2 linked regions of the Arabidopsis thaliana genome follow. The protein of the gene in region 1 interacts with the protein of each later gene in a biochemical or structural test. Each region holds a gene or a part of one and is shown in the gene's direction. Other genes may lie near its edges.

Region 1 (6,890 bases):
CGTTAGAAATTATGGAATTTTTATTTATAATATTTTTGAACCCCAAATCAGATAAAATTTTTAAAAAATATTTTTTCACCATAAGTTTTTAATGTTAGAATTATCTTATATTGGAAGTGGAAATGAATGTTAGGAACAAAAGTCTTTAACATAAAAATTTGTGCCTTTAAAATAGCTCTTAACTTTCATCTCCACGTTGATTAATTTAGACCATCCTGTGTTGACGTTGAGTTTGTGATCTTTTTCAATGAAAACAAATATCTAGTGTAATTTTTTTTTTTTTGACGTAATTACTTAGAATATTTAAAAGGGTCTAATTGCACAAGTTTTATGCCGCCATTATGAATAATAGCATAGGTTGGATATTTTAGATAATTTGTTGCAATATAGTGATGTATTGCAATAAATATAAACGTTTAATCGTTTAAACGCACCATTTAGTGTCATAATTTACGTAAATATCGTTTTTAAGGTTCCAACTGCACAAGTTTTTTATGCCGTCACCATAAATGGTATAAGCATGATATTTTCTAGTATAATTTGTTGCAATGCATCACTATTTCCTAAGTTTTTCAAAAACATTATATACAGAATAAATTCAAATAGCATTTTACATTATACTAATTTGTTATTAAGCCTTTAAAACGCATTATTTAGTATGAAGCTATCAATGTATAATGTATCATATCATGCAAATGGCATATCCAAAGGGAGATGAAGAACGTCAGAAGCATGACGAGAGATGCTTGAGCCGTGAGGGTAGCCTCGTGGGAATGAATACAAAAAGCTCACACATAAAAGTAGCATTTTTAATGGCCACCAAATCTTATCACCCTTTTTGGGATATTTTTAAAAAATTTTGAAAATAAAAGAAATATTCTTTATCTGATTCCTATTACTGAAAAGTGAACACTGAATAAAACGTCAGTTCATTGGTTTCTCCTATTTTTACAATTACAGAAAATCATCTCTCTATTTTGTTTTGTTATTTCGTTTAGTACAATGCCGCAAATAAAAACACTAGCCATTTAATAACTCACTTTGTTTGCTTATTGAATTGTCCAACCAATTACTCATTCTTAATTAGTATGACTGTTAGTATCTTTTAGAAGAAAATTAAAGCGAAGAATTATAATTCAAACATTTTTCTAACGACAAATTAACACGCACTACTACCACATCATTCATCATCAATTGATTCCCTCATATGGTCAGTCAACAACATATGCTCAGTGAACAAAAACCTCACCATCTTCTCTCCCTCCCTTTTCTTGCTACAAATCTTCATTTCCTTTCACTTTCTTACCTCGTTCATAAATCGTATCCAAAGTATTATTCGGTTTCATTCGGAGCTCTTGCTCACCATGACCGTATTAGGCTTAAAATTAAAATTAAAATGAGTAATTTCTAGTCTCTATTTATATAACCGCATCCGCATGAGTATTTAAAATTAGTAAATTCTAGTCTCTATTTATATGTCATCCCAATTGTTTCCCCCACTATATTGGGCTTAAAAGAAACAAAAGCAGGCCCACATAGGCCTTCATCTTCTCCAAAACTTGAGTGGCGCCAAACAGTAAAATTGCATTTTTGTCATTTGGAGGCAAATCCACCCGTCAAAACCTTGGCGGGAAAATCAACGACCCTTCTTTTTAGTGAATCCCCAATTTTATTTTTTTATCCTTTTTTTTTTTCAAACCTATCCATCTTCCCACTCCCTTCTTCTTCTTCTTCTCCAAAAACCTAAGAACTCTGAGAAAAAAAAAATCCAAAATCAAAATCACGAAAGGAACAACAAATCTCCACTCAGCTCGTGTTTCTCGCAATCGATTTCTTAGATTCTAGATCTTGTTTCAATTTTCCTGGGTTTATAGATTCCCGAATTTTTCTAGTTTTTTTTTTTGCGATGGACGAAGTTTCGACGGTGAATGAAAATGAGAATCGGAAGACGATGATAGAGCCAAAGAAGCTGAATAAGCGGAAGAGAGAACCCACGGCGATTGAGAATCTAACATCTGAGGAGAAAGAATCTCAGATCTCGTCGTTGAATCTAGAGATGAAAGGGCTTTTTGATTATTTCAGAGAAGTTATGGATAAGAGTAAGAGAACAGATCTGTTTTCTGGATTTAGTGAATGTTCCTCATTGAATTCGATGGTGGCTTTGTTAATGGAGGAAATGAGTTTGCCGTTGTCGAAGCTTGTAGATGAGATTTACTTGAAATTGAAGGAGAAGACTGAAAGTGTTACTATGGTAGCTGTGAAGAGTGCTGTTGTTTCTGTTGGTCAGAGAGTTAGTTACGGTGTGCTTAACGTAGATGCTGATGTTTTGGAGGATGATTCTGAATCTTGTCTTTGGTGCTGGGAGGTAATCTTAGTTTGCTAATCTTACAAGTTTTGATCTTTGAATCTAATGGTAAGTTTGGTGTGGTTTATACTCTTTGGTGATGTCATTTAATGTTTGAGATGTAATGTTTATTTGATGTTGTAGACGAGAGATCTGAAAATCATGCCGAGTTCCGTTCGTGGAGTGTTAAAACTTCGCCGGACTTGTCGAAAGAAGATTCATGAAAGGATTACAGCAGTTTCTGGTAAATGTTGTTTTTAGTGGTGATTCGTATTGATTGTTTGTTTATAAGATGTGAGTGTTTATGCCCTATGTTGTGTTTCAGCAATGTTAGCTGCATTACAAAGAGAAGAAACTGAAAAGTTGTGGAGATCTGATTTGAGTAAAGCTGCTGAGAAGCTTGGTAAAATACTGAGTGAGGTGGATATTCGATCATTCATGGATAACATGATGCAGAAGAACAGCTCAGAAATGTAAGTATCTTCTGTTAGTACTTGGTTTACATTTTATCTCTTGTTTTTCATTCTTACTCAGTTATTGTGTTTGATCGTTAAGGGCTGAGAAAGACTCAAAGAGAGAAGAGAAGCTGCTTCTTAAACAATTGGAGAAAAATAGATGTGAAGCTGAGAAGGAGAAGAAGAGAATGGAACGTCAAGTATTGAAAGAAAAATTGCAACAAGTAAGCTGATCTTTTTCTTCATTGTCTTCTAGAAGTCTTTTCTGGCGCTGTTTATTCTCTTTTAGTCATCTAGGATGTGTTGTTTGATTTCAAAGTCTGACTTCTGACTGAGCATTTGTTCACTGTGACAGGAAAAAGAGCAGAAGCTACTGCAGAAAGCAATTGTTGATGAAAATAATAAAGAAAAAGAAGAGACAGAGTCAAGAAAACGGATAAAGAAACAGCAAGATGAGTCGGAGAAGGAGCAGAAGCGTAGAGAGAAGGAACAAGCCGAGCTAAAGAAGCAACTTCAAGTACAGAAACAAGCTTCAATCATGGAACGGTTTCTTAAAAAGAGCAAAGATAGTTCATTGACCCAACCCAAACTTCCTTCCAGTGAAGTAACTGCTCAGGAGCTGTCATGTACAAAACATGAGAATGAAATTGGAAAAGTTGTTCAGGCAATTGACAACGCCTTTTCAACAACTTGTGAAGCTACAGTTGATGATATTCGCAGGTATGACATTGGTTCTCCTTGTTGATTGATTCTGTGAGGTGTCACTTTGGGTATTGTGATCTGAGTTGTATTTCTTTGTAGGGAACACTTTGCTTCCTGGCGTCAGTTGGGTCATTTGCTCTCGAGTTCGAAAAAACATTGGGGGATGCGTAGGCAGCCTAAGAGTGAACTGTTTCCAAAACTAAAACTATCTACAAATAGTGGAGTAACATCTGACGGTGAACCTAACATGGAGAAGCAAGGGGATGGATGTGAAGAGAATAACTTTGATGGTAGGCAGTGTAAGCCTTCCTCATCTAATCGTAAGAAGTCCAGGAGGGTCAAGCAGTTGTTACAATTTGATAAAAGCTGCAGACCAGGCTTTTATGGTATCTGGCCCAGCCAAAGGTTAGTAATTATTTTGAAAATTTTCATTTCAGCAGTAAGCTTATATAATATAGATTATTAGTTAGCCAAAAAGCCTTGACTAACTGCAAGCTTTCCCCTGGGTTTGTTTGGTACTGTTTTTTGATATTAGCTTTGTTGCGAAACATTTTTCAATTTTCACTGCATAAGTCATAAAGTTTTCCGATGCTGCCTATGTGACTACTTTTTTCATGGTGTTTAATAAAGCAGATGATAAATGACCTATGAAGTAAACATACTTTTACGCTACTTTACCCTGTTCTGATTCCTTAATTAACTAACCATCGTCTATGTTGGATCTGTGGTTATTATCGTCCAATGCATTTCAATTTGGATTGAACAATCATTGTAGTGAACTTGTAATGTACAGAACGTTCTCTGTGATTCTGATACGACAATACCATTTGTTATTCTGATATGCATCTAGCTGTTCAATTAAGTAGTGTTCACTCTCTAAGTTTGCTTACAATGGTACTGAGGGATCTGTTGTTTAACATTTGCAGTCAAGTTGTAAAGCCACGTCGTCCTCTGCAAAAGGATCCAGAATTGGATTATGAAGTTGATAGTGATGAAGAATGGGAAGAGGTAGGTTTATTGAATTCAGTACATGCTTTTTAAACTTGACAAAAGATCACTGGGTAATAAAGATACTTCTTTACAGGAAGAAGCTGGTGAAAGCCTTTCAGATTGTGAGAAAGATGAAGACGAAAGTTTGGAAGAAGGATGTTCAAAGGCTGATGATGAAGATGATAGTGAAGATGACTTTATGGTGCCTGATGGATATCTCTCAGAAGATGAGGTAACAAAAGCAATTTTTAATGAACTCGTCATAGATTCTTATAAATCTAGGTTGCAATCTAGGAATCTGCTGAAGTCAAATTTGCATTTCTTTGTAGTATCCAAACTATTGATCAAGTTACAACTTGAATTCCTCATTCATTCTTATAATTGATCACTCATTTTCTTTGAGCATGTGCCAATTTTGTGAAGGGGATAGTTAACTAAAGGCAGCTACGCTATAACGAATGTAAAGTTTCTTAACAAAGTGTGTTGTTTGTTTCAGGGGGTCCAAGTGGACAGAATGGACATTGATCCGTCTGAACAGGATGCAAATACGACATCATCTAAGCAAGATCAAGAAAGTCCAGAGTTTTGCGCATTACTCCAACAACAAAAACATCTGCAAAATTTAACTGACCATGCTCTGAAGAAAACGCAGCCACTGATCATATGTAACCTAACTCATGAGAAGGTCTCTCTCTTAGCTGCTAAAGATCTAGAAGGGACACAAAAAGTAGAACAAATATGTCTGCGAGCTCTCATGGTGCGACAATTCCCTTGGTCTTCTCTCATTGAGATATCGATCAACGACATTCAAGATGAAGATCAAGAAGCCAGCAAGTTTTCTTGTAGCCAGAGCACTCCTCCATCTAATTCAAAAGCAAAAATCATACCAGACTCAGATTTGCTTACAGTTGTAAGTGGATCTCTCCAAACAAATAACATTGTTTATGTATTGCTACTTAGCCCTAACAAGAATTTGGCGTCCAGGTATCAACTATTCAATCATGCTCTCAAGGTATCAATAGGGTAGTTGAAACATTACAGCAGAAGTTCCCTGATGTTCCAAAGACCAAGCTTAGACAAAAAGTGCGTGAAATATCAGATTTCGAGGATAGTCGTTGGCAGGTTAGTTAATACTTCGATCTTCTATTTTGAGTTTTTTGCCTTGAGACATAGTTGCTTATCACCATTCCCGCGATCCTTTGTTCTAACGAGCAGGTAAAGAAAGAAGTATTGACAAAGCTTGGATTATCACCGTCACCAGATAAAGGCGGTAAGAGATTACCGAAAACGATATCTACATTCTTCTCAAAACGTTGTTTACCTCCATCCACAAAACCACAACCTGCAGTTGAAGACGCAGCAGAGAGATTGGAAAACGAAAATGCTTAAGTCTACTCACAGTTTCCATCTTTATTTTTTTGGTTACATCCATCCCTCAACTTGGCTAAATCCTTTTTGTTTGCTTCTTGTGGATATGTATAATGCTCAATATCGGTAAAAATGTTTGAGATGAGGGAAATGATAAAATGGTTTAAGTATTAAGAAGCAACATGAAATAGCGAGATGTTTTGTTCTGTTAAAAAGGCTTTAAAACTTGGGAGTAATCATAAACCCTTATTTTATAATACGACACCGTTTAAATCGTTTTCACTTCTTCTTCCTCGCGGTCTCAGCCTCCTCCATCTTTTCTTCTTCGCAAGTTTTCTCACGACTTCGAAATCAATCTGTCTACAAAGCTATATTATGTATATAGAGTTCATTGTAAATATTCTGGTTTTGTATAGTTTTAACTGGAGTCTGTATAGGTTGGTTTAGCTGGTTAAGAGGCTCTGGTTTAGGCCTGGTCAATTGTATATAAACCCCCAATTGTAACTTTTACCAAATTAATGAGAATGAGATTATTTACTAATAAGCTAGATTACATGTTAAGATCTCCAAACAAATAACATTTCTCTTAATATATATTGCTACTTATTATCTTTAACAAAATTTGGAGTCCATAGAGGCAGAGAGATTGGAAAACGCGCGAGTTTAATTAAGACTCATAATTTCCATCTTTTTTTTTTGGTTACATCCTTTTTTCGGTTTCTTGTGGATACAAATGTATGATGTTTATATAAGATCGGTAAAAGCGTTTTAGGTGAGGGAATGATAAATGGTTAAGAAGAAATGTTTTTATTCAGTACTCAAAAGTCTCTATAAATTTCCTTTACGTACTTCCATATCAAATCACCTTTAAATCTTTTGTGCTTGTTTATACTTAGAGAAAGTAGCAGAAAATAGATGTTTTATAACGTTCACTTTTCAACCGTATACAAATATAAAATACCATAATGTGTTTATAATCGTCAAAGAAGTAAAATAAAGCAATAGCAATGCAAAGTGAAGCCATCACGAAA
Region 2 (6,750 bases), on another chromosome or scaffold:
TTTGCAACCAATATGTTTGAGGATATATTGATGCGAACATATGCCCTCTCTTTATTTTATAAACATTAATTCAAGATTATGCGTTTTATTATTAAAAAATATGACTACTCTTTATTGCATACATTGAAAGCTTTACTAGGAAAGGGCGTTGAGAAAAAATATTGAAAGTGAAAGTCTTCAAATTAAGGAGATTATTGATAAGAATCCTAATTCCATCGAAATCCTTCGTATGCATCTTTGTTCTCAAAACCAAATCTTATGTTTATTCAAGATGCAGCTAAGAGTAGAACGTTAAGGTCCTAGCTACTCGAAGATTGTTAAGGTTACGAGAAATAACTGCATCGTTTGTTTGTGTTGATTGATTTGGTTCATCATATTCTCCCTTTGCTCCAAAATCCAAGTATACTTCTTTTATGATCATATTTATTTTTTTAAAATAAATTCTCTAGTATCAAGAGAATGAATGTGATCATAAAAGAACTGTACCTGAATTTTTGGACAGAAGACGAATATGATGAACCAAGTAAATTATCCCAAATAACCAATAAAATTATTTCTAGTTACCTTAACGGTCTTCAAGAAACTAAGACCTTTACGGTCTATAATTATATGCTTCATGTATATTTAAGTGTTTACATCCTTACGTTACATTTTATAATAAGGATTATAGGACTTTATTTAAATTTGAAATGATGTATGTTAAGAAATAGTTTAGAACTTTAGATAGTATATAATCATGTTGGTTATTAAACTCAAATTATTTGGATTCTTCAGTAACAAAATTTTGGTAGTTATCACCACGTCAGTTGCAAACAAAATGGCCTCATGACGAAGCAGCAAGTAAGTTTTTACATGTCCTTTTAACGGACTATTTGTACATAATAGAAGTTGAAACATAGACTGCTTTCAAGTTTCACCAAAATTGAGTTTAGGTATTACGTTGAATCTGACAAATGGTTTAAGGCTAAACCCCTATTAGGACAAACACTGAAACTGAGGTTGACCAAGAAACATCTCGAGGATAAGAGTCCATAGTCAAATAAGAACAAACAGTAATGGATAAAGTAAGTGATAAGGAGGCCGATTAGGAGCAGCTGCTATTTTTTGTTGTAAAAACTTTGGTTATTATGATTTTAATTGTAAAAAATTGGCTGTAGAGATTTTGACTATGGAGAATTTAATTATTAAAATCTGATTAGTAACAAAAAAAAACTGTAACAACTTATTTTATTATTATTAAATATTTTTTTATAAATATAATTTATGCTAAATATGAATTTATTTGAAAAATTAGTGACTAAAATAAATTTATTATGAAAATTACAAAATTCATAAATAAAAAAAATTATTTTACAAATTCACTATTTTAAATACTCCATCTGTTTCACAATATAAGTTGTTTTAGCTAAAAGCACACAAATTAAGAATATTTACTTTTAAAAAGTTCTACCAATCATAAAAGAGAGTGCATAATATAGATAATCATAAAATATTAAAATAATATATAATTTGTATTGAAACTTGAAAACAACTTATATTGTGAAACAAAAAATTTGATCTAAAATAACTTATATTATGAAACGGAAGGAGTATTCAAATTGGATCAAAAATAAAATAAAAGTCTATTTAATTAATCAAAATTATTTGATAATAAAATATAAATTATTTATATATTTATTTATTATTCTCTCTCAAGATAAAACTCGATTTATTACTTTTATGAATTAGGAGCTGAAAATTCTGCAAAATACCCAATTGGGTCAGGCTCATAAATTTATATATGGGCTTAAAAATAAGGCCCAATAGATATATTTAGTTCATGAATCTACTTCTCTTCTCTATTTATTTCACTCACTGTCTCTCTCTGACAATTCGAAGTTGTAGCAAACCTTGCTTTCAATCGACGAAGGAGTTTTGAGTTGAGGAAGTGAGTAGAAATCAATGGAGGAAGAATCTAAGAATGGCGGAACCACGATTCCGACTGAAGAATTGGCGGTGGTTGCGGTGCCACCTGTAGTAGAAGAAGAGGAGCCGATGGTCGGACCTGGACCAGCTCCACGAGGCAAACGCAAGCGTCCGCTTCAATTCGAGCAAGCTTATCTTGATTCGCTTCCTTCTGCTAATATGTAAGTATGTCTTATGCTTTGGAACCCTCTCTGTTCCTAATCGAATCAAGTTTTGGGGTTTAGGGTTTTAATTTGAGCTTATTGGTTTAGTATTGTTGTTGGTATATATGAGCTTATTATCTGTGAATTGGTATTGAAAAAGTAACTCTTGTATATTTTTTCACTAGGTATGAGAAAAGTTATATGCATCGAGATGTAGTTACACATGTTGCTGTTTCAGCAGCTGAGTTCTTTATAAGTGGAAGTATGGATGGTAATGTTTCTCATCTTTGTGATATTTATGATTTCATTCTGGTTTTGTAATGGCAAAGCATAACATATGTATATTTTGCATAATCTAGGTCACTTGAAATTTTGGAAGAAAAAGGGTGTTGGTATCGAGTTTGCTAAGCATTTCCGCTCCCATCTCGGTCCAATTGAAGGTCTAGCGGTAAGTATCGCGAGTGGTTTTTAAGATACTGTCACCTCAAATCCAGGCATATGCTCCATGTTTTGAAAGATTAGCTTTTTATTTGTTTATTGAATGAAGATAGTTGACCTGGCGGGGAAATTATAGTTAGACATGTTATGGTTTCCGCAATTTTTTTGTTTGTGTCTAGTTCTATTATCAACCAATGACTCGTTTCAGCAATGCAGGTTAGCATTGATGGTTTGCTTTGCTGTACAATCTCAAATGATCATGCTGTTAAAATATATGATGTTGTCAACTACGATATGATGGCCATGATCCGTTTGCCATATATTCCTGGTGCTGTTGAGTGGGTCTACAAGCAAGGGGATGTCAAAGCTAAACTTGCTGTCAGTGACCGAGACTCTTTGTTTGTGCACATTTATGATCCTCGTTCTGGTTCCAACGAACCCATTGCTTCAAAAGAGGTTTGTTTCAATCTCTTTTTCTTTTGTTGTTATTTCTTGACTCATCATTTTTTATCAAAGCTAACAGTTTTTTTTAATCTTTGTATACCCAGATACATATGAATCCAATTAAGGTCATGAAGTACAATCCTGTTTCGGACACAATGATCTCTGGTGACACAAAAGGAATCATTGAGTACTGGAGTGCAACTACATTACAGTTTCCCGAGGATGAGTATGTCCTTGTCTCACTTCTTATCAAAAACGCTTTTATTATTCCATTTCGGTATTGCTGTTTGTTTTCTATAAATTGGAGCGTGTAGGATAAGAGAAGCATACCTGTTTTTCTGCGTGTGGCTAATGTAGTTAAATATCATATTACTGAGAATGATGCAAAGAGGAGCCTGTAGTAGAAATACTTTAGTTGCCAACTTCTTAGTTGACCATCTTTAGAATTTCAGTATAGTTGATGGGCTGCTTTCATTAATGGTTCACAGGTTGACCTTTTACTTGTTGTTGTAGGGTAAACTTTAAACTGAAGAGTGATACAAATCTCTTTGAGATTATAAAGTGCAAAACAACAATCTCTGCCATTGAGGTACTTATTTGGCATTTAGTATCCTTGGTTTTTCTTTACATCCTTAGAATGCAGCTATTAGCAATTGATATGTCTGGTGAAAATCATAATGCAAATTTGGTCTCTAAGTTTAGTGAAATTCTTTTCAGGTGAGTCCAGATGGTAAACAGTTTTCCATTACAGCTCCTGATCGTAGGATTCGTGTGTTCTGGTTTAGAACTGGTAAACTGAGGCGGGTATATGATGAGTCACTTGTGGTAAGGTTACATACTCTATGCTTCTTTCCTTACATGTTTTCACGTTAATCTGTCATGGTTAATGATCCATTCCACTATTAGGTGGCCCAAGATCTGCAGAGGAGTGATGCTCCCTTATACAGGCTTGAAGCTATTGACTTTGGTAGAAGAATGGCAGTTGAAAAGGAACTTGAAAAAACCGAGAGTGCTCCGCAGCCCAATGCTGTGTTTGATGAAAGCTCTAATTTCCTTATATACGCCACTTTTCTTGGAATAAAAGTAAGGAATCCACTTATTGTTTTCGTTTTAAATTACCATAGACTAGCATAACAGTCTAGACATGATAAGTATCCTGTCTCACATGCACATGATACAATTAACGAGCTTAAAGACCTGGGATTTTCACCTTTACTTAGGTGATGACCAAGATATAATGTGGTTACTTCTTTGTACCATATATGAAAGTGGTTATACTTTCTGCCAATATAGTGAATTTAGAATAAAAGAAGCTTGAGATTTTTTTTGTAAATTTGGGTGTCTAAGGGGTAGTGGGAGGAGCTCCATTATCACTAACCCTCAATATCTATGTATTTTCAGCAGATCATTATGTAAAAGCGGACCAGTTTTTATGATTTGATTGTATCAGAACTCTTCCATGCGTAGTAAATGGAATCATGACAAGCAACTGCTAATTTCTCTGTCTACCTTTTTGTTCTCTAGGTAATAAATTTACACACCAACACAGTTGCAAGGATCCTTGGAAAGGTGGAGAGTAATGAAAGGTATCTGAGAGTTGCATTATATCAAGGTGATCAAGGAGGCAAGAAAGTTAGAAAGATTCCTGCAGCTGCAGCAAATGTAAATGAAAGCAAGGAGCCTTTGACTGATCCGACTATCCTATGCTGTGCCTTTAAGAAACACAGGATCTATATGTTCAGGTACGTGACTCATATTGTGCTAGAATGACTCATCTTTATGTTGTGGGAGAAAGAATTATTTTTTCGCACCTTTAGATTCTACTTTGTAGAAAGACCTCATATGTTTTCTCTAGATATCCCGAGAACTACTTTGAATTTATTATCAACAAATTGGTTTCTGCAGTCGGAGAGAGCCAGAAGAACCTGAAGATGCAAGCCAAGGGAGAGATGTGTTTAACGAGAAGCCTGCTGCTGATGAACTTATGTCTGTCTCAGATATTGGAAACTCAGCCACAACATCCCTTCCAGAGAACGTGGTATGTTTTCATAACCCACAATGTTGGTATCTATTTTACTTTTCATTACGTACTGTAATTTGGATCCTTAACACAATAACTCTTTTTAACTCCTAATCATCCAGATAATGCATACTACGCTTGGTGACATTCACATGAAGCTTTACCCAGAAGAATGTCCCAAAACTGTGGAGAATTTCACAACACACTGTAGAAATGGCTATTACGATAACCACCTTTTCCATCGGGTTATCAGAGGATTTATGATACAGACTGGAGATCCTCTTGGGGATGGTACTGGAGGACAGTCAATTTGGGGCAGAGAATTTGAGGACGAGTTTCACAAAAGGTAAACATTTCTTACAGGCTGCTTTGAGTTTAGCCATCCGTTTAGAAACAAATGAAATCTAACTTAGTTTGATACGTTGTTCTTTTACTTGGCCTGCAGTCTAAGGCATGACAGGCCGTTCACATTGTCTATGGCAAATGCCGGCCCAAACACAAATGGGTCTCAGTTCTTCATCACAACAGTGGCTACACCGTGGCTAGACAATAAGCACACTGTTTTTGGAAGAGTTGTGAAGGGAATGGACGTCGTTCAGGTATGATTTGAAAACCAAAAAGAATATTTTTACTTGTTGGCTTAGTGTGACTTAGTGCCTAACCATAAAACCAAATGAACAGGGTATAGAGAAAGTGAAGACAGACAAGAACGACAGGCCTTACCAAGATGTGAAGATACTTAATGTCACCGTTCCGAAATCTTAGCATCTTTGCTACTGTCTCAAAGATAGTGAACAATCTATGCTGATCCGTAACCCCGTGATTGGTTCTATGCTGGGAAGTTGTTCTTGCGGAGATGGATCGAACTGTGGGATATGTTTGTTGTACCCGAGCAGATCAGGTTAAGTTGGTGGCATCATCTTCTTGACACTAAACATTATTTTATGTTTTTGTCAAACAAATTTTATGAGAATGCTTAGTGAACAAAAAGACTTCAACTTCTAATGTTACTTCAATTCCTCTTATTTTCTTGAAATAGAGTTGATCTACTTTCTTCTAATTTATCCAAGCTTCATGGGTTTATGTCTGAAACGACAACACGACAACACCAATGTTTGAAGTTAATAACATAGAATCTCAATTTCACTTGGATTTGGATTTTTCTGTTTATTTGGGATCACTAAAGATAAACTTTTCCATGAGTGTATCAAATTCTAGCCCTCTTAGGCACTTATTTTGTGATATGCTAACATACTATGAACTAAACTATGTAAATTACAAGCTTAGACCAGATTCAACATGTAAATCAAACGGAAAACGATAAATGAATAACCCGCAAGGTCGCAACATAGTTGAAAAAACTCTTCTTGCTTCATTATCTAAGGAGTAAAATTCGTAATCCAAGAAGCAAAAACCAGAACCACTAAGAGAACAAAAAATCAAATCTCGACTCCTTTCCGTGGGGACAAAAACCTTACTCGAAGAGACTGAATCCCATGTCCTGCATCAAAGGTGAAGGATATAACAAAGAGTCAGATAAAGACCAATATCAAGACCATAACAAAGACTAAGTAATAAGGAAACAAAATGATAAAGAGAGAAATGCTTTACATCATCAGACTCTTCTTTCTCTTCCTTCTTGGCTTCTTTCTTCTCCGCAGGGGCAGCAGCACCACCACCACCGCTTGATGGAGCAGCTGAAACAGCCACACCACCACCAGATGGCACAGACGCTAACTT

The links. The genes of interacting proteins can lie anywhere in the genome.
Region 2: the proteins of FAS1 (region 1) and CYP71 form a complex in vitro, tested with the Arabidopsis thaliana proteins (one study listed by BioGRID).

The regions. Positions count from the first base shown.
Region 1 is NC_003070.9:24,318,896-24,325,785, reverse strand, and holds FAS1 (chromatin assembly factor-1 (FASCIATA1) (FAS1)), read left to right. Parts: upstream 1-1,694; 5' UTR 1,695-1,906; coding exon 1,907-2,365; intron 2,366-2,488; coding exon 2,489-2,588; intron 2,589-2,669; coding exon 2,670-2,817; intron 2,818-2,899; coding exon 2,900-3,023; intron 3,024-3,154; coding exon 3,155-3,519; intron 3,520-3,600; coding exon 3,601-3,906; intron 3,907-4,427; coding exon 4,428-4,509; intron 4,510-4,585; coding exon 4,586-4,723; intron 4,724-4,987; coding exon 4,988-5,401; intron 5,402-5,475; coding exon 5,476-5,613; intron 5,614-5,706; coding exon 5,707-5,880; 3' UTR 5,881-6,390; downstream 6,391-6,890. UniProt on the Arabidopsis thaliana protein: Component of the chromatin assembly factor complex (CAF-1) involved in chromatin assembly following DNA replication and DNA repair. Assembles histone octamers onto replicating DNA in vitro.
Region 2 is NC_003074.8:16,164,393-16,171,142, reverse strand, and holds CYP71 (cyclophilin71), read left to right. Parts: upstream 1-1,838; 5' UTR 1,839-1,941; coding exon 1,942-2,126; intron 2,127-2,293; coding exon 2,294-2,379; intron 2,380-2,467; coding exon 2,468-2,556; intron 2,557-2,762; coding exon 2,763-3,002; intron 3,003-3,094; coding exon 3,095-3,216; intron 3,217-3,503; coding exon 3,504-3,579; intron 3,580-3,707; coding exon 3,708-3,815; intron 3,816-3,896; coding exon 3,897-4,073; intron 4,074-4,514; coding exon 4,515-4,732; intron 4,733-4,895; coding exon 4,896-5,028; intron 5,029-5,132; coding exon 5,133-5,356; intron 5,357-5,455; coding exon 5,456-5,609; intron 5,610-5,691; coding exon 5,692-5,775; 3' UTR 5,776-6,208; downstream 6,209-6,750. Other genes in the region: AT3G44590 (60S acidic ribosomal protein family), read right to left, coding at 6,485-6,511, 6,622-6,750. UniProt on the Arabidopsis thaliana protein: PPIases accelerate the folding of proteins. It catalyzes the cis-trans isomerization of proline imidic peptide bonds in oligopeptides.